Caenorhabditis elegans: one gene and its partners. The protein of the gene in region 4 interacts with the protein of the main gene of each other region in a pairwise test. Each region holds a gene or a part of one and is shown on either strand. Other genes may lie near its edges.

What was found.
Region 1: the proteins of pop-1 (region 4) and unc-37 interact in binary tests that used the Caenorhabditis elegans proteins (3 or more experiments, as listed by UniProt).
Region 2: the proteins of pop-1 (region 4) and tbx-38 interact in binary tests that used the Caenorhabditis elegans proteins (3 or more experiments, as listed by UniProt).
Region 3: the proteins of pop-1 (region 4) and unc-130 interact in binary tests that used the Caenorhabditis elegans proteins (3 or more experiments, as listed by UniProt).

The regions. Positions count from the first base shown.
Region 1 is NC_003279.8:6,741,006-6,747,452, forward strand, and holds unc-37 (Transcription factor unc-37), read right to left. Parts: upstream 4,325-6,447; 5' UTR 4,320-4,324; coding exon 4,239-4,319; intron 4,187-4,238; coding exon 4,043-4,186; intron 3,791-4,042; coding exon 3,280-3,790; intron 3,193-3,279; coding exon 2,997-3,192; intron 2,944-2,996; coding exon 2,196-2,943; intron 1,678-2,195; coding exon 1,519-1,677; 3' UTR 1,302-1,518; downstream 1-1,301. Other genes in the region: dhod-1 (Dihydroorotate dehydrogenase (quinone), mitochondrial), read left to right, coding at 1-6; cytb-5.2 (Cytochrome b5 heme-binding domain-containing protein), read left to right, coding at 283-375, 427-759; W02D3.12 (Succinate dehydrogenase assembly factor 4, mitochondrial), read left to right, coding at 984-1,014, 1,063-1,301; fnci-1 (FANCI helical domain-containing protein), read right to left, coding at 5,327-5,389, 6,272-6,407. UniProt on the Caenorhabditis elegans protein: Transcriptional corepressor that functions with the neural specificity gene unc-4 to govern motor neuron identity. In concert with unc-4, represses the expression of VB-specific genes such as ceh-12, thereby preventing the adoption of VB motor neuron fate.
Region 2 is NC_003281.10:11,782,855-11,788,573, reverse strand, and holds tbx-38 (T-box protein 38), read left to right. Parts: upstream 1-2,512; 5' UTR 2,513-2,521; coding exon 2,522-2,727; intron 2,728-2,749; exon of another isoform or gene 2,750-2,829; intron 2,830-2,888; coding exon 2,889-3,207; intron 3,208-3,973; coding exon 3,974-4,360; 3' UTR 4,361-4,492; downstream 4,493-5,719. Other genes in the region: C24H11.1 (Serine/threonine-protein phosphatase), read right to left, coding at 1-55, 127-336, 594-725, 773-826; srd-74 (Serpentine Receptor, class D (delta)), read right to left, coding at 4,500-4,688, 4,739-4,810, 4,882-5,160, 5,523-5,719. UniProt on the Caenorhabditis elegans protein: Transcription factor. Required for mesodermal induction, acting redundantly with transcription factor tbx-37. Together with tbx-37, acts by inducing cell fates in the AB lineage, thereby playing a role in development of the anterior pharynx.
Region 3 is NC_003280.10:11,279,231-11,284,944, forward strand, and holds unc-130 (Forkhead box protein unc-130), read left to right. Parts: upstream 1-2,735; 5' UTR 2,736-2,764; coding exon 2,765-3,102; intron 3,103-3,536; coding exon 3,537-3,863; intron 3,864-4,103; coding exon 4,104-4,440; 3' UTR 4,441-4,729; downstream 4,730-5,714. UniProt on the Caenorhabditis elegans protein: Probable transcription factor. Binds to DNA sequence motif 5'-CTGTTTCA-3'.
Region 4 is NC_003279.8:2,826,962-2,833,102, forward strand, and holds the start of pop-1 (Protein pop-1), read right to left. Parts: upstream 3,351-6,141; 5' UTR 3,333-3,350; coding exon 3,158-3,332; intron 1,638-3,157; coding exon 1,519-1,637; intron 113-1,518; exon of another isoform or gene 1-112. UniProt on the Caenorhabditis elegans protein: Transcription factor. Part of the Wnt signaling asymmetry pathway. Binds to the consensus sequence, 5'-(C/T)TTTG(A/T)(A/T)(G/C)-3'.

The DNA of each region.
Region 1 (6,447 bases), 3.9 Mb from region 4:
AAATAATTATATTCCCAAGATTTTTGTTATTTTTTCAGGTTGACTTCATTTTCATGGGTGTTTCAAAATTGTTTTATAATTGAATTATTTTCTTCCGATGTTCAATGTGCCTTTTCATGAGATTGTAGGGTAATTCTTAGTATTTTCTGCATAAATTATTTGATTTCCTTATGTTTTTTTTTTCAATTTATACTAAAGTTTCTGGTTTTCAACCGAAATATATCACTTTTGAATAATTTTCAACGACTTAGAGACCATTTTTTGTTTCAGGGTTCATCAATTATGTCGGAGCTACGTGTCATTTCTCTCGATGAGGTCTCAAAGCACAACTGGGAAGATGCTGATCAATCGTGTTGGATTGTCATCTCCGGAAAGGTAATTTTTTTTTCATTTTTTAAATTTAAATATCGAAATCATTCCTTACAGGTCTACGATGTGACAAAGTTCTTGAATGAGCATCCAGGAGGTGAAGAAGTCATCACTCAATTAGCCGGTAAAGATGCTACAGTTGGATTCCTCGATGTTGGGCACTCAAAAGATGCTATTGAAATGGCCAATGAATATCTCATTGGTCAATTGCCAGAATCAGACGTTCCAAAAGTCGAGACAGCGGCTGCGAAACCTTCGAAAAACGAAAAATCATCATCTCTCCTCAATGATTTCACCGAAATTATGACTTCACCAACATGGACCAACTTCCTGATTCCAACTACAATGGGACTTGTCATTTATGCCGTGTACAAGTGCATGTTCAATTAAATTACCTTAGCTCTTATCCTATTCTTTTGATCTTATGCGCCCACTTTCTTGAAATGCATCAAAGAACATTTGTTTCTATGGACTTTTATATATGTGATAAAGATTTGTTGTCAATATTTTCATATGTTACTGAAGGAAAAATGGGTGGAGCCTTGGAGATATCGATGTAACTTTAGTCGCAAGATTAGTCCTATTGAAACAATTAAAAAAAATATTCAGATCAAATGCTTCGTCAGATTCTTCGTCCAATTTTGAGTATGGATTTTACACAAAAAACAATTTTCTAATTTCTTGACGATTCAGATTCTTCCCGCCGATTCGCAGATATAAAACCAAAACAAAGTGCGAAGGAGAAGGTGATGGCTGAGAAGACACCGAAAGGAGCACTTGATAAAGCAGACGAACAACAATATGAAGATCCTCACCTCAAGAAACATCCGGGAGGTGTGAATAAGTCAACTGGAGAAGTTGGTGGACCAGCTGGACCAGAGCCAACTCGATATGGTGATTGGGAGAGGAAGGGAAGAGTTTCAGATTTTTGAAATGTTTTATTAATTGCTGTTAAAGTCAAGTCAGATCATCATTGTTTTGTAGTGCAAATAAATAAATGTTTTAAACATAGAGTGACATTAATCGTAATAGGGTACACAAATACGAAAATTTGACAAACGAAATTAGAAGAGATGAGAGAGATGAAACGATTATCGTACAGAATAGGGGTTTTGAGTATCATGATCATAAATTCACTGCGGAAAAAAATTAATATTCAACTGCATAGAGAGTTGCCTTCTTCTCCCCTGATCCAGTGACAATGAGTGAGTCGTCGAATGAGATGTCACATGAGAGAACGGAGCTGTTCTCTTTTAGTTGAAAGAGTGATGCTCCGTATGGAGTACGCCAGGCGTTGAGAGCATTGTCCTGAAAAATTGAGATTATGAGGTTTCAATTAGAAAAATTGAGCCAATTACCGTATTTCTTCTATTAATATGGCTGCAATACTATTTTTCGATGGTCTTCCCGCTTGCAAGACTAATAGGGAGTGCAAGAATATTAGGGAGTGCAATACTAATTTTCAGAATATTTTTCTGACTTTGAGCTTACTAGTTTTTTTCTGAAAAAGCTCGAATCTTATGTAAAAATACAAAAAATTTTGATTTTAATTGTAACCTATAAGTTCAAAAACTTCAATTTCGTATAAATTTTGTGAAAAATTGTTGCACAATAGGCAAAAAATATTGTTGAAATCCTGAAATTAGCGAGATGGGTTTGCAATAAAAAAAAAGTAAACGCAAGACTATTAGAGAGTGCAATAGGGAGTGCCATACTAATTTTTGGAAGGTCTCCGAGGGGCAATACTAATAGGGAGTGCAAGTCTAATAGGGAGGCCATACTAATAGAAGAAATACGGTAAATGACAAAGTATAATCAAAACATACCTTTCCAGTTGAAATGAAGAACTTTCCGGAATGCGCAAATTTGAGCGAAAGGACGCATGATTCGTGTTGTGTCAATTGATACTTTTCTTTTCCAGTTGTTGACAGAACCTCGACATAATTATTCTCCATACCAACAGCCACCCATTCATCATTTGGACAACATCCAAGAGAGAAAACTTGGCTCGCAAAATCATGCTTCGCAACTTCCTTTCGTTGTGCAAGATCCCAGCATCTAACAGAATTGTCAAGACCACCTGACCAGAGCTTTGTACCATCTTTTGAGAGATCGAGACATGATGCTCCATCTTGATGTCCAGGTAGGGTTCCAACTTTCACCTTATTATGGATATCATAAATGAGGATATTTCCATCAGCAAGACATGCGAACAATAATTTCTCATCTGGTGACATCGCCAACGCGTAGCATGCTTGTGAATCAGTTTCCAAGTCCAAAGTTTTTGTTTCAGTTGTAAGATCCCAAAGAGCAACAGTACTGGCTTCTCCTCCAATCAGAAGTGTATTTCCATCTTCAAAGAGTTTACAAGATCTAATATAGTTCTCTTTGAGACAATCCAAGGATGCAATTGGAGGCCGATTCACAACCGTTGCGCCAGAAATATCTGATTCTTTGACATCCCAGATCTTAACACATCCTTTTCCACCAGTATAAACACGACTGTTATCACGGGAAATTGTGGCCGCACAAACTACTTCTCCGTGATTTAATTCCATTTTCTTCTTGAGACCTCTGCAATTTTTTTTTTCAAATTTGAATCAAAGCCAATTATTATATTTTCTTACGTCGGAATTCCGGGACCTTTCTGTGCATCTGGAGGGAAGGATGTAGGTGTTGGAACTCCACCGTCCACAATTTTGAATGAATAGGCCGGTCTGCTACCGATTTGCCCGATGGCAGCTGCAAGACGGGCCTGTGCATGGGGATCATTCAAAAAGTTGAATCCTCCAGCAGCACTAGCTTGTCGGAGAAGATTTGGATCTGAAAATTGAAATATTTTGGCATTGCCTGAAGTTTTGGTATTTGCTCCCTCCACTTAGCACACTTCAAAAGATTGTAAACACGTACTGAATCCAGCTAAAAAGTTCATTTGCTCCAATCCTTGAAGCCCAGCGAGTGGCTGCTGTTGTTGTCTTGCTCTAGAATTTGATGCGATGCTCGGTGTAGATGCTCCCGATGAGGCAACACTATTTGTGCTATCTCTTCCATTTTTATTAGCTGCGCCTCCATTTGATGCAGTACTTGGATGATCATCATTTGTGACATCAATCTCAAGTTCTCCATCATCTGGATCTTCCAGCTTGGCCTTTTTCGCTTCACTTGCACCTCCAGAACTTCCACCGGCTCCATCTCCACCGTTGACATGTGGTGATGCGAATTGATTGAATAGTTGACTCATTGCAGGGCTCATTCCGAATGGCATATTTGGCATCATTCCAAGCATTCCAGCTGCACCGGGAGGAAAACCTGGTGGAAGTGCTGGTGCTCCATTTCCATTTTCACGTGGTGATGCGGTTTTGAAAGCTTCCAGTGCGGCGAGGCAGTTTGCTTGATTATCTTGAGATAGTTGAGGAGCCAACTGAAAAATATACATTTATAATATTACCTAAAATTGATTATTATGAATTAAAAATATTACATAATAATTTTTCTTCTATTTATAAATGAATATATGGAAAGAGGAGCATGTTTGAGTTGAACAAGGTACAATCCAATAGATATTATAACGTTTCCATAATATTTAGTTCAAATATTTCAACAAAAAAATTGTAATAGCTTTTTCTATATTTTTGTTCGATTTTTTAATAACATTATTGACGAGTTAATTTACCGATTGCATGATGAATTCCTGAAGGCGTTTGTTGATTTCTTCTGCTTTTCGAAGATCGCTACGAAGAGTATTTGATACTTCAGCGTACGTCATATACGATCTATTCATATTTTCTTTCTCTAACGCAACCTTTTCGATATCCGACTGCAAAATTGTTTTCAATATACTAAAATTTCTCTTACAAAATTAAGCTTACTCGTTGCTGGTTGACATGCTTCGACATTTCCGCATGCTCGTCTTTGATTCGATCGAGGGTTTCCAGATACGATGCCTTCATTTTTACTGAAAATTAAATACAATCAAGTGGATAGTGAATTATTAACATAAAAATTATGAGAGGAGTTTTAAAAATTCGATCAAAAAAATGCAAGGAAGAACAGACTAGTGATGGATTGGGAGAAGACAACAAAACTCAAGAAATAGCACGTGGTTTGAATAGACGTTGACAACGAGACGAAGAAACAAAGAAAGAGGACATGGGTTTCCAGTGGTGTAGACGGAGAGAATCATACATTAATTGCAAAACGACTGGTCATATAGCCCCACTAACGTTGAAGAATGAAGGAGGTATTGGTGTCGAGGAGGACGAACGCGCGGCGATGAATGCGACGCTGAATGGGTGACCGAATGGGGGGAGGAGTTGTCGATAGAGCACATTTGTTTTGAGCTCTTTTGAGCCCGAGTGTAGAAGATGAATGTATCCAATAAGTTTGATATTCAAGTAACACGAGGATCCGAGGATTTCTAACTAATATTTCGAATCAAACACGATGAAGCTGCAACTTACTATAGAGAGAAGCATTTATAAATATTTTACATGTACATAATCACAATTCCAGTATAAAAAACTCACAAAATTATCTAAAAAAACGGAAAAGGTTGAAATATTGAATAAAGAGACATAAACCTGTCTTGAAGAAAATATTTTTAAAAAATCATGTTTAACAAATAATAAGTTTATTGACATGGTATGTTCTTAAATAATTTGAGATTGAAAATCGGTAAGAAAATGAGATGAGAATCAAATGATAATAGTGAAAATTGAGATTCAAATGGAAAGAATAAAAACTCTTGAATGATTCTATTAGATTAAACAACAAGACGGTATACTGTAGCAGTCATGAAAATTTAAAAAAAAACCAAAACATGAATGAAGCTCCATTTTGTCATTTGTAACTAATTAGAAGCATTCCGGAGTGTTGAAGAATATATTACACATATAAAAACTCGAGAGTTTAAACTCATTAGGAAATCAAATATAATTGTCGTTTCATTGCTAACTGATCAGAAGACTGGACTCGTGCCTCTGGAGACACTTTCTTCTTCGTCATCAACCTCCTGCTTCACCTAAAAATACATTTTTAGATTAAGAGTGCAAGTCGTCTCGTGAAAAATATATTCTTGAACACGACACTTGATTTAAGGGCAGCGTAAATTTATATAAGGATTAAGGTAAATGAAGCTATCAACAACTAACAAGGTTATGCCCTTTGATCAATCATTTCATTTCAGTAATTGACACATTCATTTCCCACAATGTTAGATTTTATCGAAAAAGGAGGGATGTGATGGGTGGTTATAAACATTCAAAGATTCGAGAAGGCGATAATTGGTTGGATGTGTGTAACAGATGGTGGTGAGACGATGGTGTACACATTTGTTTGCACTTTATGTCATCATTATGACAACGAATACAATGAAAGTCAGATTTATGTTCCAGAAATAGAAAATTCCCATATAAGGGTCACCTTGGGTCAAATTGATGTCGGTTGATGGAAAAGGGATGTTTAATGGGTGAATGAGAATAATAAAATGTATGTGGTCGAGGCATTTGGAACTACATACATTTTATGTCTGGGATGCCGCTGTTTTAGATCATTTCACAAATTGAAATGAACATTTGACACAAATGTGGTCCTATTAATCAGCGCATTGAAACAGTTTCGCACCGAATATCCACAATTTATATTGAAAAATAATGATTTCTTTTTTATTCAAAACATCATAGGAATTGTTGAAACAGTAAACTATTTTTGGATTTTAACATTTGTAAGATTTTTGAAAGATATGGAGACTTACTTTAATTTTTTCGAAATTTTAATTGCCGAATTGTTTTTTGAAACTTTATTTTTTAGAGTTAAAGTTTTTGTCCAAATAAAATATTTTTCGGCCTTAGAATTAATCAGCTCAAGTAGTGGTTACACAACTCATAAAATCTCGTACACATACCACTCCAACAGTGTTCTCTTGATCTCTTGGCTCTTCGGGTTCTTCGGAGCTTCTTCTTGCAGATGTTGTACTCTCTTCAGTTTCTTCTATTTCTTCATCTTCCATACTTGGGTCCCTACGGCCTCGTTTGGTGGCTCTGAAAGCATCTCGTTACTTGAAAATTATTTAAAGAAACA
Region 2 (5,719 bases), on a different chromosome or scaffold from region 4:
GATCCACGTAGTCCCCGAGGAAGAGGTATTGAGTTTTTGTCGCTGCTCCGCAGGCCTGAAAGGGAACATATAGAACAGCTTAGCACACATGCAGTTGGTATGGTAGGCAGGCAGGTAAGGACTTACATTGAAAATACGAAGCAAGTCGTTGTACTGCCCGTGGGTATCTCCACAAATGTTGATCGGAGCTTGAAGTTCCAAAAGAGCATTTGCAGCCGGTTTTGGAGGGCTCATAGATGTGGTTGCAGATGCTGAAGCAGATGGTGCAGTTTTCTTGTTCGGTGGAGATGTGTAGTACTTGAAGACACGTGTCAACAGCACATGGATCTCTTTTTCCTGAAAAAAAGACATTAGGAACGTAGGTAGGCATGGAGGCAAATAGACAGGCAGGGGCGTGGGTAGGTAGGCAGGCAACCGCTTAGAAACGCAGGGATGGTGCAGGTAGAGAATAGGTAGGAATGCAGTGGTTAAACATTTAGGCAGGTATGAGGCAGGCAGGTAAATATGCAGGGATGATTCAGATAGGCAATGGGAAGGCATGTAGGCAGGCACAGGTGAAGCAGGCAGGCCGGTATAGAGTCTCCTTTACTTACATCAAACATAATGGCTTTCGAGAATACAGGCTTCAGAAGTTTCTTGATCATATCGGTCAACTTGAATCCCTTCTCATCGGCCTCCGTGATATGCCAATTGTTGGCTTCCGAACCCGGTTCAACGGAAGTTTTCTGAAAAGGTAGAGGCATTTTAAAGAATCATCTGAATTTCCACTTACCTTTGGAGCATCTGTTGCAGCAGGATTTGAAGAATTCGAAGAATTTGAACTCATTTCGTTTTCAATTCAAATTGATCCCTTTGAAGTGTGAATTATCAATTAATGAATTTATTTTCTTTCTATTGATTTATTGATTTTGATGATTTATTGATTGACCATTGCGATAACAATTGTTTTTATTTTTGACGCGAACATTTTTAAATTGTTTTAAACTTGCGTAACTAAATTGTTATTAAAGTTGTAAACTATCCAAAAATTGTAAATTTTATGTTCTACATTTTGATAGTTGACAACTTTTTTATAGCGTTTTTTTTTTTTTTTTGTTTTTGACGCGAAAAATTTCTTTTTTTTTTTGTAAATTTTTTTCAATAATTTTTTATTATAATTTTCGTGATTAAATTGTTATCAAAGCTATCAAAAAGTTTGTAAATCGTTTTCCAACTATTCCTAAATTCCTAATCGATATTGTTTTTTTCTTTAATTTTCCAGATGTCCTCCAAGTTTCCCACAATATCGTGTGTCTTTCGTTTTCCAAACCACGTGGCGTACCATACATGGCAGAGAGTTGTGTTACGGCTCAAAGACATGTGCCGCTTATACTTTGCTATAAAGTATTTTGCCAAGTGTTTCGAACCGTTTTTGAACCGTTATTATTACTTGAAAAATCTCATATTTGCAGTAAAAATTACTGGAAGAAATGTACATTTAATAGTAACGTTTAAGTATGAAGCTATTGAAAAATGTATGAAAAACAAAATATAAAATTATTTTTATAATCAATTTCTTGTGTTTCTAACCAATTTCAAAATGCACCAGCCCTCCCGCTGAGCCCGACACATCTTCTCCTTCCGAGCCAATTCAAAACTGCGCACCGCTATCACTAGAGTGTGAGGTGTCAAGGTGTGGGTGGAGGTATACTTTTGAAGTGTGAACTACACATTCTAGATTGCTGAAGACCATAGAGATGCTCAGTTGGAGGAAGAGGTGTTCAAGAATCAGACACCAACATTGGCTCGCAGTTTAATGAGTGTTCCGATTTTACAGTTATTTTGGATATACTTCGCGTGTGATCCTTCTAGGTCATTATTATATTGGTGTGAATTCAAAAAGCCTAAGCCTATGCTTTAGCCTAAACCTGAGCCTGAGCTGAGGTCTAAGCTTAAGCCTGAGCCTAAGCCTAAGCCTTAGCTTGAGCCTAAGCCTAATAAGGGATGGGCGGCGAACAGGCTTTCTTGGTGAACGGCGAATTCGGCGACTTTGCCTATGCAGTTTTTCCAGTTTTCCAGGTTTTCTCTGAAGGTTTTTTCTTGTTCAAAGGTGTAAGCCTAAGCCTAATTGTAAGCCTAAGCCCAAGCAGAAGCCTGACTGAGCCTAAACCTAAGCCTAGGCATAACTCTAAGCCTAAGCCTGAGCATAAGCCTATGTCTATGTCTAAGCCTAAACCTAAACCTAAAGACTAAGCCTAAGACTAAACCTAAAGACTAAGCCTAAGCCTGCACCCAAGGCCGCCGTGCGCTACATCTCCCATGGCCACACGCTCATATGTGCCAAGTTGTGCTCCACTTGCCACGTGTCCACCCCTACGTGTGGCCCAGCCCCTTCCGGCTCCGCCCACTTACCGGCTCAGTTTTACAGAATTAGTGAGAGTGGTTAGCACTTTTATTACAATTAGATTTTTGTTGCTCTACTTCCGGTCTCACTTTTTTGTGCTTCTGTTACTCCTATAACTCCCCCTGTTACAGCATTACCATGTACTCGTGCACCTCCCCATCCGGAATTAAAGTCTCCTTGAGCACACCAGAAATTTGGGAAGAGTTCTACCCGAAAACCGAAATGATTGTGACGAGAAACCGTGGAAGGGTGATTTTTCCGCATTTGGACTATATCATCAAGGGATTGGATCCAGGCAGTCTCTACTCGATTTATATTCATTTGGAACGTGTTGACGGGATTAAGTGAGTTGGGTTAAAAGATAGAAAAAAATTTTCAACTGGTAAATTGTAGAAAATTAAATTTGCTACAATTTCTAAATTGACAACTTTTTGATAGCTGGTATACTTTCAGAGTTATAACCTATAGGACGATTCCAATTTCAAAAACTTGAACTCATTTCCAGATACAAATTCGACGCAGGAGAATGGAAAGAATTCGCCAAAGGAGATCCGATTCTTCCAATCCAATACAAGGAGCATCCGCGTGGCAAGCGTACTGGAGCAGAATGGATGAGTGAGCCCGTCTCGTTTGCTCACATCAAAATCACGAATAACCCGGAAATCAAGGATCAGAAGGTCATTTTAGTGCAGAGTATGCATAAGCACATTCCAGTGGTCACTGTTAAACAGGTCCGACATTATAAGACAGGGTATCAAGAGGATTTTAGTGGGGAGCAGTTCCGGTTGGAGGCTACTGAATTTATGGTGGTCACTGCTTATCAGGTTAGTTATTTGAAAGGGTGTGGGAAATTAAATTTGCAACAATTTGTTGAAAAAAGTTGAAAACATTTTAATCGCGTCACTATCAACGGAGATGAAGTAGTTTAAAGTTGGAGAGCATATTTTCAAGTTTCCAAAACTGTAAATTTCGAAGCGCTATTCCAACTTTTCAAATCAAAAATAAATGTAGACATATAGAAAGCATCTAATTCAAAATTAAAAAAATACTGAAAAACTTGCCGAAAGTTGCCATTTGCTGAAGCTTAAGCTTAGGCTTAGGATTAGGCTCAGGCTTAGGCTTAGACTTAGGCTTAGGCTTACGCCATTATACAGGAAAAAACCTTCAGAAAAAACCTGGAAAACTTAAAAAACTGCATAGACAAATTTGCCGAATTCGTCGTTCGCCAAGAAAGCATGTTCGCTGCCCATCACTGATTAGCCCTAGGCTTGGGCTTGGGCTTGGGCTTAGGCTTAGGCTTAGGCTTAGGCTTAGGCTTAGGCTTAGGCTTAGGCTTAGTCTTAGGCTTAAGCTTAGGCCGCAAATCGACTTTTTCAAAATATTTGTCGAGCACGTCAAATTCGGTAAATTTATTCGGCATGGCAATTTCGGAAAAAGCATTAAGTTTTCATTAAGTGCCGGATTGAAACTACGCTATTAAAATTTTGTCAACTAAAAAATAAAAAAATGTAGCAAATTCAATTACCCACAACTAGAAATTTTTCACCAACTACATACATATATTCTCTACAAAATTGTACCCTTTTCCAGAACGAAATCCTCAAAAACCTCAAGGTTCATCACAATAAATTTGCATCCGGATTTCGTTCGAATGGCAAGAGACGGCTTTCTTCAGACTCTGAAAATTCTGAAAACTCTCCGCCCAAACGCAGCAAATTGGTAACCCCACCGACAATCTCACCGCAAATAGATCTCCCACAGCAAACCCCGTATTATTTCAACCAGAATTTTGTGGCTCCGCAGAACTACCAGCCACAGTTTGCAAGTGCTCAGAATTACAATTTCGAAGTTCAAAATAATGCTCAATTAGCTTGGAATATGTATTATCAAAAACAATACGAGTTTTGGTGGCAACAGCAGCAAATGATGATGCCAGGACAACCACAAGAGCTCAAAAATGAATTCCAAAGTTTGTGAATTTTTTGTAATATTTTTATACCCCCTACCTATTGCCTTTCTCCCCCTTTGAATATTGTACTGCACTGATCTCCTGGATTACTATTTATGTGTCTCATAAATAACAATTGAAATAAACTTTATTAATATTTAAAAAAAATCAAATAGTCCTCGCGGAAGACTGCGCCACGGACAACGTCACCCCAATCGAGACACTTCTCTGCCGCCGCGTCACAAAACTCCTATATGGTGCAACGTAGTAGATCGTTAGAATCGGATCGATGAGGCACGGGATGACGCAGGTTGGAAACGGCACGAACTCGGCAATCTCGAACTCGATGTGGATTCGCTGGAAATTTTTCAATGGGCTAGGCGTGCCTGCCTGCCTGCCTATCTCACCTGCGCCACAAGGAAGTATGCAACATTGGGAAGAAGGCATACCATCGGGAACATTGCCTGCATTGTGAGTGCCTGGAAAAATTGGAAAGTTGCCTGCTTGTTTGCCTACCTACTAGGCAGGCAAGCCTACTCCTACCACTCACCCTCACCAAATCCAACGACGATTTCTTGGTTCGTTCACTCAAATGTGTCTGAACTTCGTTGATTTGATTGAAGATCTGATGTCTCCAGTACAGAATGAAAACGGGCATCATGTAGGGAATTCCCATGAGAATTGTGGTATTGATAAGATAAACCAGCCGAGTTGTCGACTTGAAGCCTCCATATTCGCCGAAAGTATCTAATAGGTGATAGTTGGGATACGATCTTTCCGTGTTCAGGGTTACTGTAGGGAAGTCGTATGGAGGAATTAAAATTGCTACCTGAAAATTTTGGAATTTATTTAGAAAGTGGTCCTAGTATTAGGCTTAGACCTAGGCTCAGGCTCAGGCTCAGGCTGAGGCTCAGGCTTAGGGTTAGTCTTAGGTTTAGGTTTAGGCTTAGACCTAGGCTCAGGCTTAGGCTCGGGCTCAGGCTTAGGGTTAGGTTTTTTGGGCTTAAGCTTTGGCTTACGCGTAGGCTTAGGCCTAGTCTTGATGAAAACCCTGAGAAGAAAATCATGGAAATTTCCTACTTCCTAAGCGTTTCAGGAAATAGGACAAGAAAACCCAAAAATTTGAACCAAAAGAAACATTCAAGATTATTTTAGGCCACGCCCATATCTTGGCTAACACTCTTCACTTACCAGCATTCCAACAGAAATCACCAACGTTACTCCGAAATTTCGACTCAACGCTAAATTCTCGCACTTTCCGTGACAAATCAACGAGTACCGATAGTACATGGACAATAGTATTGAGAGATTTGTGGTGCAAAGAAATAAATTATAAAAATTATAACCTATGAAGGCAATCACAGGAGACGCATGCCGAAGAGGGCCAT
Region 3 (5,714 bases), on a different chromosome or scaffold from region 4:
TATGAGGTAGGCCTGTCCATTAGGAAAGTATCAGTGTTCATTACGTCTACGCCGATGTTATATGGCACCTGCCGATTTGATCAGGGCTTGAATATTAGAAGCTAATTTTGTACTTTTTGTCTAAAATGGTTCTAATTATTTATTAAAATACCTTGGGTAGAATATCGAAGAGCCCAACTGGTCTCATGTCTCGCCGGAAAACGCGTCCTTTAGTTACTTGCGATCATATTTTTATGCTATTCGAGTTCCTTTTATGCTATTCGAGAGCTATTCGAGGAGCTACTCTTCTATTTTGGCTCTGATTATTTTTTGTCACTGTTAGAATTTCTATAGGCACGACTGACGACCGCTTTTTTCCCGGAAAACGCCCCACGTAAATTTGCACGCATACTTTTGGTTGGGAGCCAGTGGGGCGAGGATCCTCCCCTTCACGTAACACCTCAGTCTTCCGAGTAGGAACAAAATCGCAAAACTTTCGTGGTAAGACCACCGGCACCCCATAAACATTTATTAAGTAACACACACACAATTAATGCGTTCCTTCCCACTGCCAATCTTCTTATCAGAAAGATGAAATGACCGTCTCAACCGAGCCTGTGTGTCTATTTGTGTGTGGCCTTTGTAATAGTTACCACCTAGCTGATAACCGAGAAAGTTGGATTACCTCATGATTCCCTCATAAATTTGCCGACAGGTTCTTTAACGAAAACATATTTGTCTTTTGATTGTCTATTCTCTATTTACAAATTGATAATTGGGAGAATGCCACCCAGAATTAGTCGATTTAAAATTGAGTATGATCTACATAGATCTGAGTAGTGGTTGATCACAATGATATAATTATTATATATTAGTATCATTTTCTCTTTCTCTCTCTCTCTAAATTCACCCTGTCATCAGTGATGATTCTCAGTTTCGAGCGGCGGAGGGGCGAGCGTGTGGGCGGAGCCGCGTGTCCAATGAGCGTGGGGCGGGGCGGTCCAATTACCGGTGTTTTCTTTCGTTTATTCGCTTTTTGTGACTATGACACCAAAACGGAAGAATCAGTGGATCAGGCAAAAATATTATTATTAGAACTAATAGTTGGATTTAGGTTGGGTATCATTCTGTACCTATTTCACCTGATTTCTTGTGCTTCACTTGATCTTTGTCTTTATTATTATTGTTATTATTGTTGTTGTGCTCCTTGTTGTGCTCCTTATAAATCCCGTAAACTCTAAATCTAAATTGTTATCTAATACTTTTTATTGGTTACCAATAATATTACTTCTGCCAAAAGAGGCAAAACGCCGCGTTTCAAAAAATGAAAATTTTTATCTGTTGTTCATCACTGTCAAATTTATGATTATTAATATTTCTCACCATTCAAATTAAAACTTTTGCTTCAAAACTACATAAAACATTCAAAAACTTGAAACAAATTTTATTCGATTTTTGCAAGTTTTTTATTTAAAAAAAATTATACCGTATTTTCCCTAGCATTCATTTTGCTCATATCTCGGTTGTCCCAAGTTTTATCAAAAAAATTTTAACTGTCATAATGTAGAAAAATAATTTTTCCATAGTTTGTAAGTTGACAATTTTTTGATAGAACCAGAGAGAATCGAGATATAAGCTGTCAAAGAAGAGCAAGGTGCATGCAAGTCAAATAGGAAAATAGTGGGTTTTCCGGTTTACAAATTCGCATAGTTTTGAATTTTTTACAGAGTTTTCACCATTTTAGAGAATTGCTCACATTTTCTGAATTTTTTTTTCAAAAAATTAACTGGTACCTAAATTGAAATTTAAATATTTTGAGCAGAAGAGGTGAAACTCTTTTTTTAAATTTTTTAATTGCTTCTCATATTGATACTATTCTCTTTTTGTGCCAAAACTTCTAATCAATGCCCCGCTCCTTTCAAATCCTAAAGTTCCACTTAAAAACTGAAGAATCAAAAATCTTGAAACCTGTACTGTATGTACTCTTCCAAAAAACCACCTCCGTGCTTTTCATCATTTACAACTTGTCTCCCAGTCCTCGTCCGCAACTTGCTTTTGATATATTTTTTTCGACTTCTTCATTTCAACACATACCTACACACACAAAAAAAGTTTGCGCTAACACATGTCCGCCCGTCATAAATCTACAGTAATCTCGGAGCTTTCTTTCTCTCTCCTGATGCTCCCACACCACTCTGTCATTTTTCAATTGTTCTTCTCTTGGAAGCTCATCTCTCGTTTTCATTTGATCCTGCTAGAAGACACTTGATATGTTGTTTGTGTTAACTAAGATAACTGATATTGTTGAAAGTGATAGCTTTGCTTTGCTTTTCAACTTTTCGTGTTCCTCCTGCTCTTTTTTTTGACAGCTTACTAGTACCGAGTTCGGACCCCTGCATAGTACTACAAATATTATATTAATATGAGAATGATATACCCTTATTATCCCCCCACGTACTCTTGAGAATCATTAGTATGTTTCAATGTTTCGCCAACAATGGATTGGTATCATCTGCCCTTACCTACCGTACTCCCTCAAGTGCTCCCTCATCCATGATTACCGTACTCCCCTACTCTCCTCCCCCTTCTATCCGATTATAACATTTTTATTAATAATTATTATTGTCTGGTGTCTCGCGATGCCATCTCTATCTTACGATTTCGCTTTGAATTTTGATAACGCTATGAAAATATTAGCTTTTCTTATCTTTTTTATGTTTTACTTTTTTTCATAATTTTTTCATCAACTTACTTGCAGAAACTAACTAGGTAGACACCGGTAACAATGCTCTTTTCCATGGAATCAATTCTATCAAGTACCAAGCCAAAACTGGAGCCACCTCCGAAGCTAGAGCCGGAAGTGACAATCAATGAGCAAGTGGTTGATCTGCCGCGGAGCAACACACGGCTCTCCGAGCCATCAACTTCTGCGTCGGTTCTTGAACATGATTTGAAGTTTGGGGAGTCCCGAAAAAGAAGTCGGTCTCTTGGAGACGAGCCCACGGAAGATGAAGACGGCGTTCCAGTTCGGAAGGCAAACAAAAGAAATCATTCAACTTCAAGTGCTGCAGATAGCTCATCTGATGATGCGAAGGATGATGACGACGATGATGATTCTACATCGTAAGTTGGGAACTTGGGAAAAACTTAGGAATCTTAGAAGAAATTCGATTTTTCTCGACCTCGACCTTTTAGGTCCTTTTATACAAAAAGTTTGTATGCTCAATTTTTGTGAAACTTTGATCTCCGATATTTTTAAGTCTATTAGACATTGTTCAACTACCGTATTTTCCCTGTATGACTTGCATTCTCTTTACTCTAACTTGACGGTTTATATCTCGGTTGTCCTAAATCTTACCAAAAAAGTTTAACTGTAAAAATGTAGAGATATATTTACATGCATTTTGTCAGTTGACAATTTTTGATGAGACCAATAAAAACCTAGATATTGGCTGTCAAAGTAGAGAAATAGGTAGAGCAATATACCTATAATATGTACAGTGATATGTACAATAATATGTACTGTGTAAAACAACTGTAACTCTATAATTTTGCAGTCGAAAATCAATGTCTGGTCACCGAAAGAGCAGTCACGCAAAGCCACCGTACTCCTACATTGCACTCATCGCGATGTCAATTCTCAATTCACCGGAGAAGAAACTGACACTTTCGGAAATTTGCGAGTTCATAATCAATAAGTTCGAGTATTACAAGGAGAAGTTCCCCGCCTGGCAGAACTCGATTCGTCACAACCTAAGCCTCAACGACTGTTTTGTGAAGGTGGCTCGGGGGCCTGGGAATCCGGGAAAAGGAAACTATTGGGCGCTGGATCCGAACTGTGAGGATATGTTCGACAATGGATCGTTTCTGCGCAGAAGGAAGAGGTAAGGGGAGCACAGGAGAAAGTATTACAACCTGACGGGGAGTAGTAGCCGGCGGCGGGGTGAGCACACATACGAGATGTGAAGAGAGGGAAAAGACAGTTGTTTCGATAATTTGTCACCAATTTGTTGTCATTAATCGCACCCTCGAGGGTAGTGGAGAAGCCTGGGAAAAGAAAACTTTCGGGGTTAACAAGGGAATTAGTGAGATAAATTTTCAATTCAAACACTTAATAATTTCAGATACAAGAAAAACAGTGACACATATCACGAAATGATGTCCCATCATCCGATGCCATTCCCTCCATTCCTCCCGCAAGGAATGCCCTTTCCTCCAAGAATGATGCACCCGATGGCTAACATTCCCATGCTGGGACATCCAATGAATCCAAGAGCAGTTCCAAACATGCCAGCGTTCTTCATTCCACAAAATATTGATAGCCAGAAGCTCTTGTCAATGATGGCTTCGAGAATAATGCCAATGGATGCTCCAGTCAGCTCTGGCCAGAAGAGAACTTCATCGAGCTCCTCACCAAATGAGAATGGATCTTCGGCAGTTTCAGATAAACTGAGCGCTTAGAAGAACACTCAATTTCCTTGTTTAATTTTTAACAATTGTTTCCTATTTGCTTAACCTTTTCTAGTCTCTTGTTCCTTTTCCGTTCCCCTTCAATTCCTTTCAGCATTCTTCATTTCCCCTGATCTCAATCGTGCAATCAATAATCAATTTTTTGTTAATCCTCCTGCACGTGGTACCACAACTTCATTTCTTCAACTGATCTTCCCTTTTCTTTTTTTTCTTTGTTTCATTATCTGTGAAAGAGCTTATGTCGTAAATAATTCGAAAATATATATGTCCATCGTCAGCATTTTTGAAGTTAAAATCACATTAATCAATTGAGCAAACAGTAAGATGAAAGGAGACCGCAGAAGCTGCTGAGCCGATTAAAAGACTGAAATTGATAAGGGAGGGAAGTGACAAGACTGCTGCAGAGTTACTAGTCTGCAAAATGTCATGAATCCAACAAAAAATCAGGGTTCAGAAGACTAGGTTTTTAGTAGAAAACATACCGAATTTTTCAATTAGTCTTGCACCAAATTTGCTCTACTTTGGCAGCTCATATCTCGGTTGTCTTCAATTTTAACAAAACATTTTCAACTGTAAAATCATAGAAACATATATGAAAAATATTTCTACTGTTGAAATTTTCGTGATAAAACCAAAAGCAGCCGAGATAAGAGATCTGAAAGTAGAGCAGAAGGGGTGCAGTACTAATAGGAAAAGTACCGTAACTTACCTTTTCCTAACTTTTCTAAATTAGATGGATATATAACTGGACGCGAATATTAGCCACAGACAGAGTTCCTCAGCCTCCAAGAGTCCTCATTTTTCCATATAACCTGGCTCCTTTGGACTAGATAGAATTTCTAAAAAGACGACCTATGCCTACTTTTCTGTGAATAAAAACCATTAAAACCATAATTTAAATCAACATAAAGCTACTTGTTGTTTGGGCAAATAATGATACTAACAATTAAATGAACATTTTGAAAACTATGCTAAGATTATTCAAATGTTATCCTAATTACCAAAACCCTAGTTTAACTCGGTGACTTTTTGAACTCCCGCCAAACCATATAATTATCTCAAGCATGTCGTCTTCATTTCTATCCTAATTAGATACCCATACATAGTGTATATATGTATATTCAAACTATACAAAACGGATATTGCTTATCAAATTCATTCATCAGTTTGCCACGTCAAATCAAATTATCGAGAAGTGTGTGTGGGGGTGCAGTTTCACCTTATGCCACCTCATGTTTCGTTTGACGGCACATGGTGACAGGCCC
Region 4 (6,141 bases):
ATCATTTTGTAATGAATGAATACGAACACACACACACCTTTTGAACCTATTGTTTTCCGCGTCTTTTTGTCTGTAGAAAAAAGGTGTCCAAACATGTGTGTGTGGGGGGGGGGGGGGCCCAGAGGTGTCTAATTGTCTATTGTATCCGTGTCTCGGGTACCAGCAACCATAATTACCACCACCATCGAGACCCCCCAAAGTGACGCAAAAGGAAATAATTTCGGCTCTTGACATGATGTTCAACAATTCAAAAGAAATTTTTGGTGTTTTTTCGCCAATAGTTTTTCGAGAAAAACAAATTGCCAAAAAACACGCAATTTTTTGGGAGTTAATGAGGCTTCTCCAACAAAAAAGAAGAAAAAACTGTTTTCGAGGAAATGCAACGAGTTTTTGGATTCAGAAGATAATAGATTCAGTTTTTCGGTGAAAATTTTGTAGAATTTCTCACGAATTTTTGGCTTCCCTCATAAAATGAAATGGAAGAGTTTTTGCCGAACTAGGTCATTTTGGCTCAGTAGATTTACGGCGCGTTGCGTGTCGCGTCGCGGCTCGATTTTAGTTGTAAAACTAAATGCACTTGTCCGTGTGGAGTACACGACTATCCCAGTCCGGCGGGCGATTGTCAATGGAGCGCGAAAAATTCAATGAGGAAGGCCAGAACCCCATGGCGGAAAGCCAAGAATTTTTGGATTTGGAAGACAATAAATTCAGTTTTTTAGTGGAAATTTTGTATTATTTCTGCTTTTTGGGGAAGAAAATTGTAGGAAGAATAAAAAATTAATACGGTTTTTTTTCTACAAAAATGGAGAAAAGCCCTAAAAATTCTTGAAATTGGGTAAAAATTTGAATTTTTTTTTTTTGGAATTTCTGCTTTTTTGGGGAAGAAATTGTTGGAAAAATGATTTTTAATAGGATTTTAAAGCAATTTTTTGCAAATTTCGACGATTTTTGATTCAAATTGAAGAATAAGCTCAAAAATACACAATTTTCCATATTTTTCAATAAAGCTTTCGATTTTAGGGTGTTTTTTCGCTTTTTTTAAATAATTTTTGGTGTAAATTCTTAAATTCCAAAAATATAGAGGCTCTCGAACCCTTTAAAAATTCAAAATACATAATTTTTCCCATTTCTTAGGCAATTTCTGGGCAAAATATTGAAATTGCAACTTTTAAAAGTATTTCTAATGCCTAGACTACATAATTTTTCTAATAAAATAGGGGGAATTGTCATAAAAAGGATTTTAAAGCGATTTTTCGTCGATTTTTGGGGGAAATCTTGAAATTTCAACTTTATAAGGTATTTATAACATATTCGAGGCCTAATATTCACCTTTGTTTTCAGATTTTTCAGTGAAAACTTCCAATTAAAGCCGATTTTTTGCCAATTTCGGTAATTTTTCGTTCAGAAGTATTTAACTTGTTAACTCTAAAATACAATTTTAAGTCGATTTTTGTCGATTTTCGCCAATTTTTATGTGTTTTAATTCAAATTTTTTCAATTTTCCAAGTAAAAAATCACCATAAATAGAGGCATAAACATGGGTAAAGCAGCTGCCGAGTATCCAGGACTGAAGTGTGACATTAAACCGGGAAACGATGGTGACATTGGTTCGACTTTTGGAAATGCACTTTTTAACACTGAAAATTTGATAATTATTCGGTTAGAATGGTTAAAAAAGAGCCAAATTTTTGATTTTCAACCGATTTTTTGGCAAATTTCACAATTTTTAGTCAAAATTCTTTAAAATCCAATTTTATAGGGTTAAAGATTTCATTTTTCCAGATTTTTTCATGAAAACTCCGATTTTAAAGAGATTTTTCGGTAATTTTCACAATTTTTAGTTAAAATTCTTCAAAACTCAATTTTATAGGGTTAATTATCTCATTTTTCCTTCAAAATTTCGATTTTTGAAAGCGATTTTTCGCAAATTTTCACAATTTTCAGTTAAAAATATTTTAAAATTCAACTTTTATAGTGATATCCGAGTTCAAAACCTCTCATTTTTTAGATTTTTCAATTGAAAATTCGATTTTAAAGCGATTTTTCGTAAAATTTTAAAAGGAATTTCTAGCACCTCTAAAGGCCTGAAATACATAATTTTTTAGATTTTTCCATTCACAGATCTCAAAAAAGGTCAATTTTTGGCGCCAAGTTCAAATTTCTCAGATCAATTTTGAATATTATCCAATTCTTAATCCTTTCGCACCCCTATACAGTCTATTGAGCACACACAGACGGACCAACTTGTTCAAGTACTCACGACGGATTAGCACACAAGATAACGGACCGAGATAGTATGGGATTCGGAGAGACGCAGATGGTGTTCGAACACCGTTGCGTAACATCCTTTTACGTCATTATGTCATTGCGTAAGGCCCGGGACCATCAGGTCAATTCTTAGGGGTGTTTTGAAATTAGCATGGATTTTTTTAATAGAAAATAGTGAAAACCGGAAAAAAAATTGGTTAAAAATGAGTAAATTTCATTTATAAAGTGTTAGAAATACTTTAAAATATAAAAAATGGCGAAAAATCGCTTTAAAATTGGTTGAAATTCAAAATAACACTGAAAATACTCAAATTTGTCAAAAAAAAATATTTTAGCGATTTTTAATTAATTTAAATTCCCGCGCTTTTGTCTCGATTTTGAACTCCGCCCATAAAACCGTGCCGCACTTTTGCACTTTTTAATTTCAACGTAAAGTCCAATTTTTGGGTTGTTTTTCTAGCTTTTAATGAATTTTTCGGCGATTTTTAAAACCTTTTTCTCCATTTAAAAACTGAAAAAAAACCCCCAAAATATGGATTTACGCTGAATTTGAAAAAAAAACAAAGTGCGGCACGGTTCTATGGGCGGAGTTTAGACAAAAAATGCGGGAATTTAAATAAGGTTTTTTTTTCAAATTTAATGATTTTTTTCTCTTTTTTTGGGATCAGTCTTAGCATTTAAAGTTTTTATTTAAATTATTTAAATTTAAATTTATATGTATTTTTTTAATATTTAATGTCCCTTTTTCCTGCAGAAATTTAGAAATTTAGAAGAATTTTCAAATATTTTTTTTGTGTAATAAAGTCGAAAGGCAATTGAGGTGGTCCATAAAATTTTGTGTGATAGCTGGCCACCTTCCCCTTTCGATCAAATTTATTGGAAAACTCACCATCAATCGATGGATTTCGACCGGCACCGTCTAATTCTGCTTCCATTACAGCTTCTTTTTTATCATCGGCTAACTGTTGTTCTGACGTTTCACCACTAATCATTGGATCATCGTCAGCATCCTCATCCCGACGGAACACCTTCACCTCATCGCCGAGCTCTTCGTCGGCCATCATTTTTGTGTATTTTTATATCTGGAAATTTAGAGCATTTTTTAACGATTTTAATGGGAAATTGACGGAAAAATGGAGGGAAAAGAAGCACGGAACCATTTAAAACAAGAAAAAAGGGGGACTAGGTCCGCGGAAGTTAGGCCATGGAGAGGGGAAAGACGCGGGAAATTTGAATTCGATAGGATTTTGGGGAGAAAGTGGAGGTTTAGACTTCTAAAATTGGAAAATGTTGAATTTTTATTGAATTAGAGATAAATTTTGACGACAAAATCGAAATTTTAGATGAAAAACTCAAGAAAAATCAGCAAAAACGGTGAAATTTGTTTTAATTTTAATTTAAAAAATACTTTTGTCCACCGTAACTTTTAAAGGCGCATGCCGCTTATTTTGGTGTGGGTCTCGACACGAATTTCGAACAAAATTACTTTTCTTTGCTTAAAAATGTCGAATTTGAGCTGTTTCGTTGAAAAAATAATTTGAAACGAGGAAATTTCGATGTGAAATATCTAGAAATTGATCGAAAACTTCGAAATTTGTTCAAAATTAAATTTTCAAGTATTTTTGTCTACCGTAACCTTTAAAGGCGCGTGCCATGTATTTCAATGTGGGTACCACCGCGAATAACAATATTTTTCGGCTTATTAATTTGTAATTTGAGTTTTTAAAAATAAAATCATAAATTTTAAACAAGGGAATTCCGAACAAAAAGGAGAAAATCATCAAAAATCTTTAAATTTGTTTAAAATTCGCATTTTTCGACATTTTTGTAAATATACCGTAGTCTTTAAAGGCGCATGCCATGTTTTTTGGCATGGGTGACACCACGATCAGACTTTAAATACCTTAAAATTACCTATTTTTGACGTAGAAAATTACTTTTTTGCTTATAAATCCGAAACGCGGGAATTTTAAATTAAAGAGCAGGAATCGATACGGTGAACAAAACACATCTGTCATTGGCAACAGATGGCCTAGCCGAAAACTAGGCCGCTACTCGCTCTACAAAATTCAAAAAGAATGACGGGAAAAAAAAGCGAAAAATGTTCGAATGAAGAAGTTCCTCCAATTATAAAATGCAAATAAACGTAGAACCCAGCAGGAGGTAGGAGGGAGGATAGTGGAACGAGGAAAACGAGGCGAAAAGGATCCATAAAATTCAAATAAATGACGGACCGGGGGACGTGAGAAGAAGGGGGGAAGAAGACAAGAGGCGGTTGGTGGTGGTGTATGCGCGCGCTGTCGGTAGTGCACCATGGCCCCCCGCTACACCAATTTCTCTGCGTCTCTCGCTTTCATCGCTCATCAAGGGGCCGCCCATGCTAAATGGTGTGTGAGAAGGCCCTGTGTGTGTGCGCAGGTGGCCGACAATAATAGCTGTAGAAGAGGTTAAAAGAGAGCATGGAACTTGAAGAGAGTGGAGGTTGAGTGAGAAAAAATAAAAATCAGATTGTCCTGAAAAAAACCATTTAAAAATTGATAAGAAGTGATTTTTGTGGGCATCGGTAATCGGTAACCCGGGGCGTCAATATATATTTTTTATCGAAGTGTTCATTTTCTTCGTTGTAACTCACCGGGAAAACCGTGAGAATTGGCGGAGAGATAGAGACACAGCGTGTTTTCATCTTTTTTTCTTTTTTCTAATTCTCCTTTCACTGTGAATGTGACCCCAGTCAGATAAAAGAGAAAACGGAAGGAGACAAATGGCAAAGACTATCCTAAATTAGAGGGAACACACCCTTTTTGGTAGCGAAATTGGTTGAAAATCAATAAAAATTAATAATTAATTCGAATTTTCCGAGAGGAGTACACGTTGCTTGAAGGGTACGGTATTTTTTTAAAATTTTTTAATAAATTTCTGAATAAAATCGATTTTTTTTTCGATTTCGAATAGTTCTTTGTGAAATTGAGTGAAAAATTGAAGAAAATCAAAATAAACTGCTGGGAAATCTCGAATTTTTCTAGATTTCCGTTTTTTCTGCGGAATTTTCCCAGAAATTAGAGAAAATTACCTGGACAAGTGTAAAAACGAGGATGTTGGGAAAACGGAGACTAAAATTGGAGAAAATGCAACGAAAAAGCTTGAAAAAAATAAATTTGGCTGTATTTCGGGAACACTGCGAAGCAAATTCAATTTTTTTATTACGGGATCACGAAAGTCTAATAACGCGTATTTCGCAACATATTTAACGCGCAAAATATCTTGTAGCGAAAACTACAGTAATTCTTTGAATGACTATTGTAGGTCGATTTACGCGATCTCGATTTTTTTCCCATTTACTTTATTTAGTTTTTTGTCATTGCCGAATGATAAATAATTTCCGTTAATCGACCTACAGTAGTCATTTAAAGAATTACTGTAGTTTTCGCTACGAGATATTTTGCGCGTCAAATATGTTGCGCAATACGCATTCTCCGAATTTTATGTTACCGTAAATAATTTTTAACAGAGGAAAAACAACTAGAAAAAATCAATGAAAATTTTTCATGGCCAACTCTTCTTATGGAAAAGTGTAAAAATACAATTTTTAGACTATTTTGTTGGTAATTTGTGTAAAGAAAAGTCGCACAAAAACTACAGTAACTACAGAAAGAATTGAAAAAGTAAAAAAAAATTCTCACGAAAATTAGAGAAAATCGAGAGGCAGATGTTGTTGAGCCACCAGGCGTAACAGACAATGAGTGTCTGGAAATGTCTAGTAGTAATAATCTAGAAACGCTGCAACAAAGAAGGGCTATTTCCGTTCTCACCCATAGGAAAGGTGACAGGTTTTTAGTAAATAGGGGGAGGTGGTGGCTCTGGCGATGAGCTGGA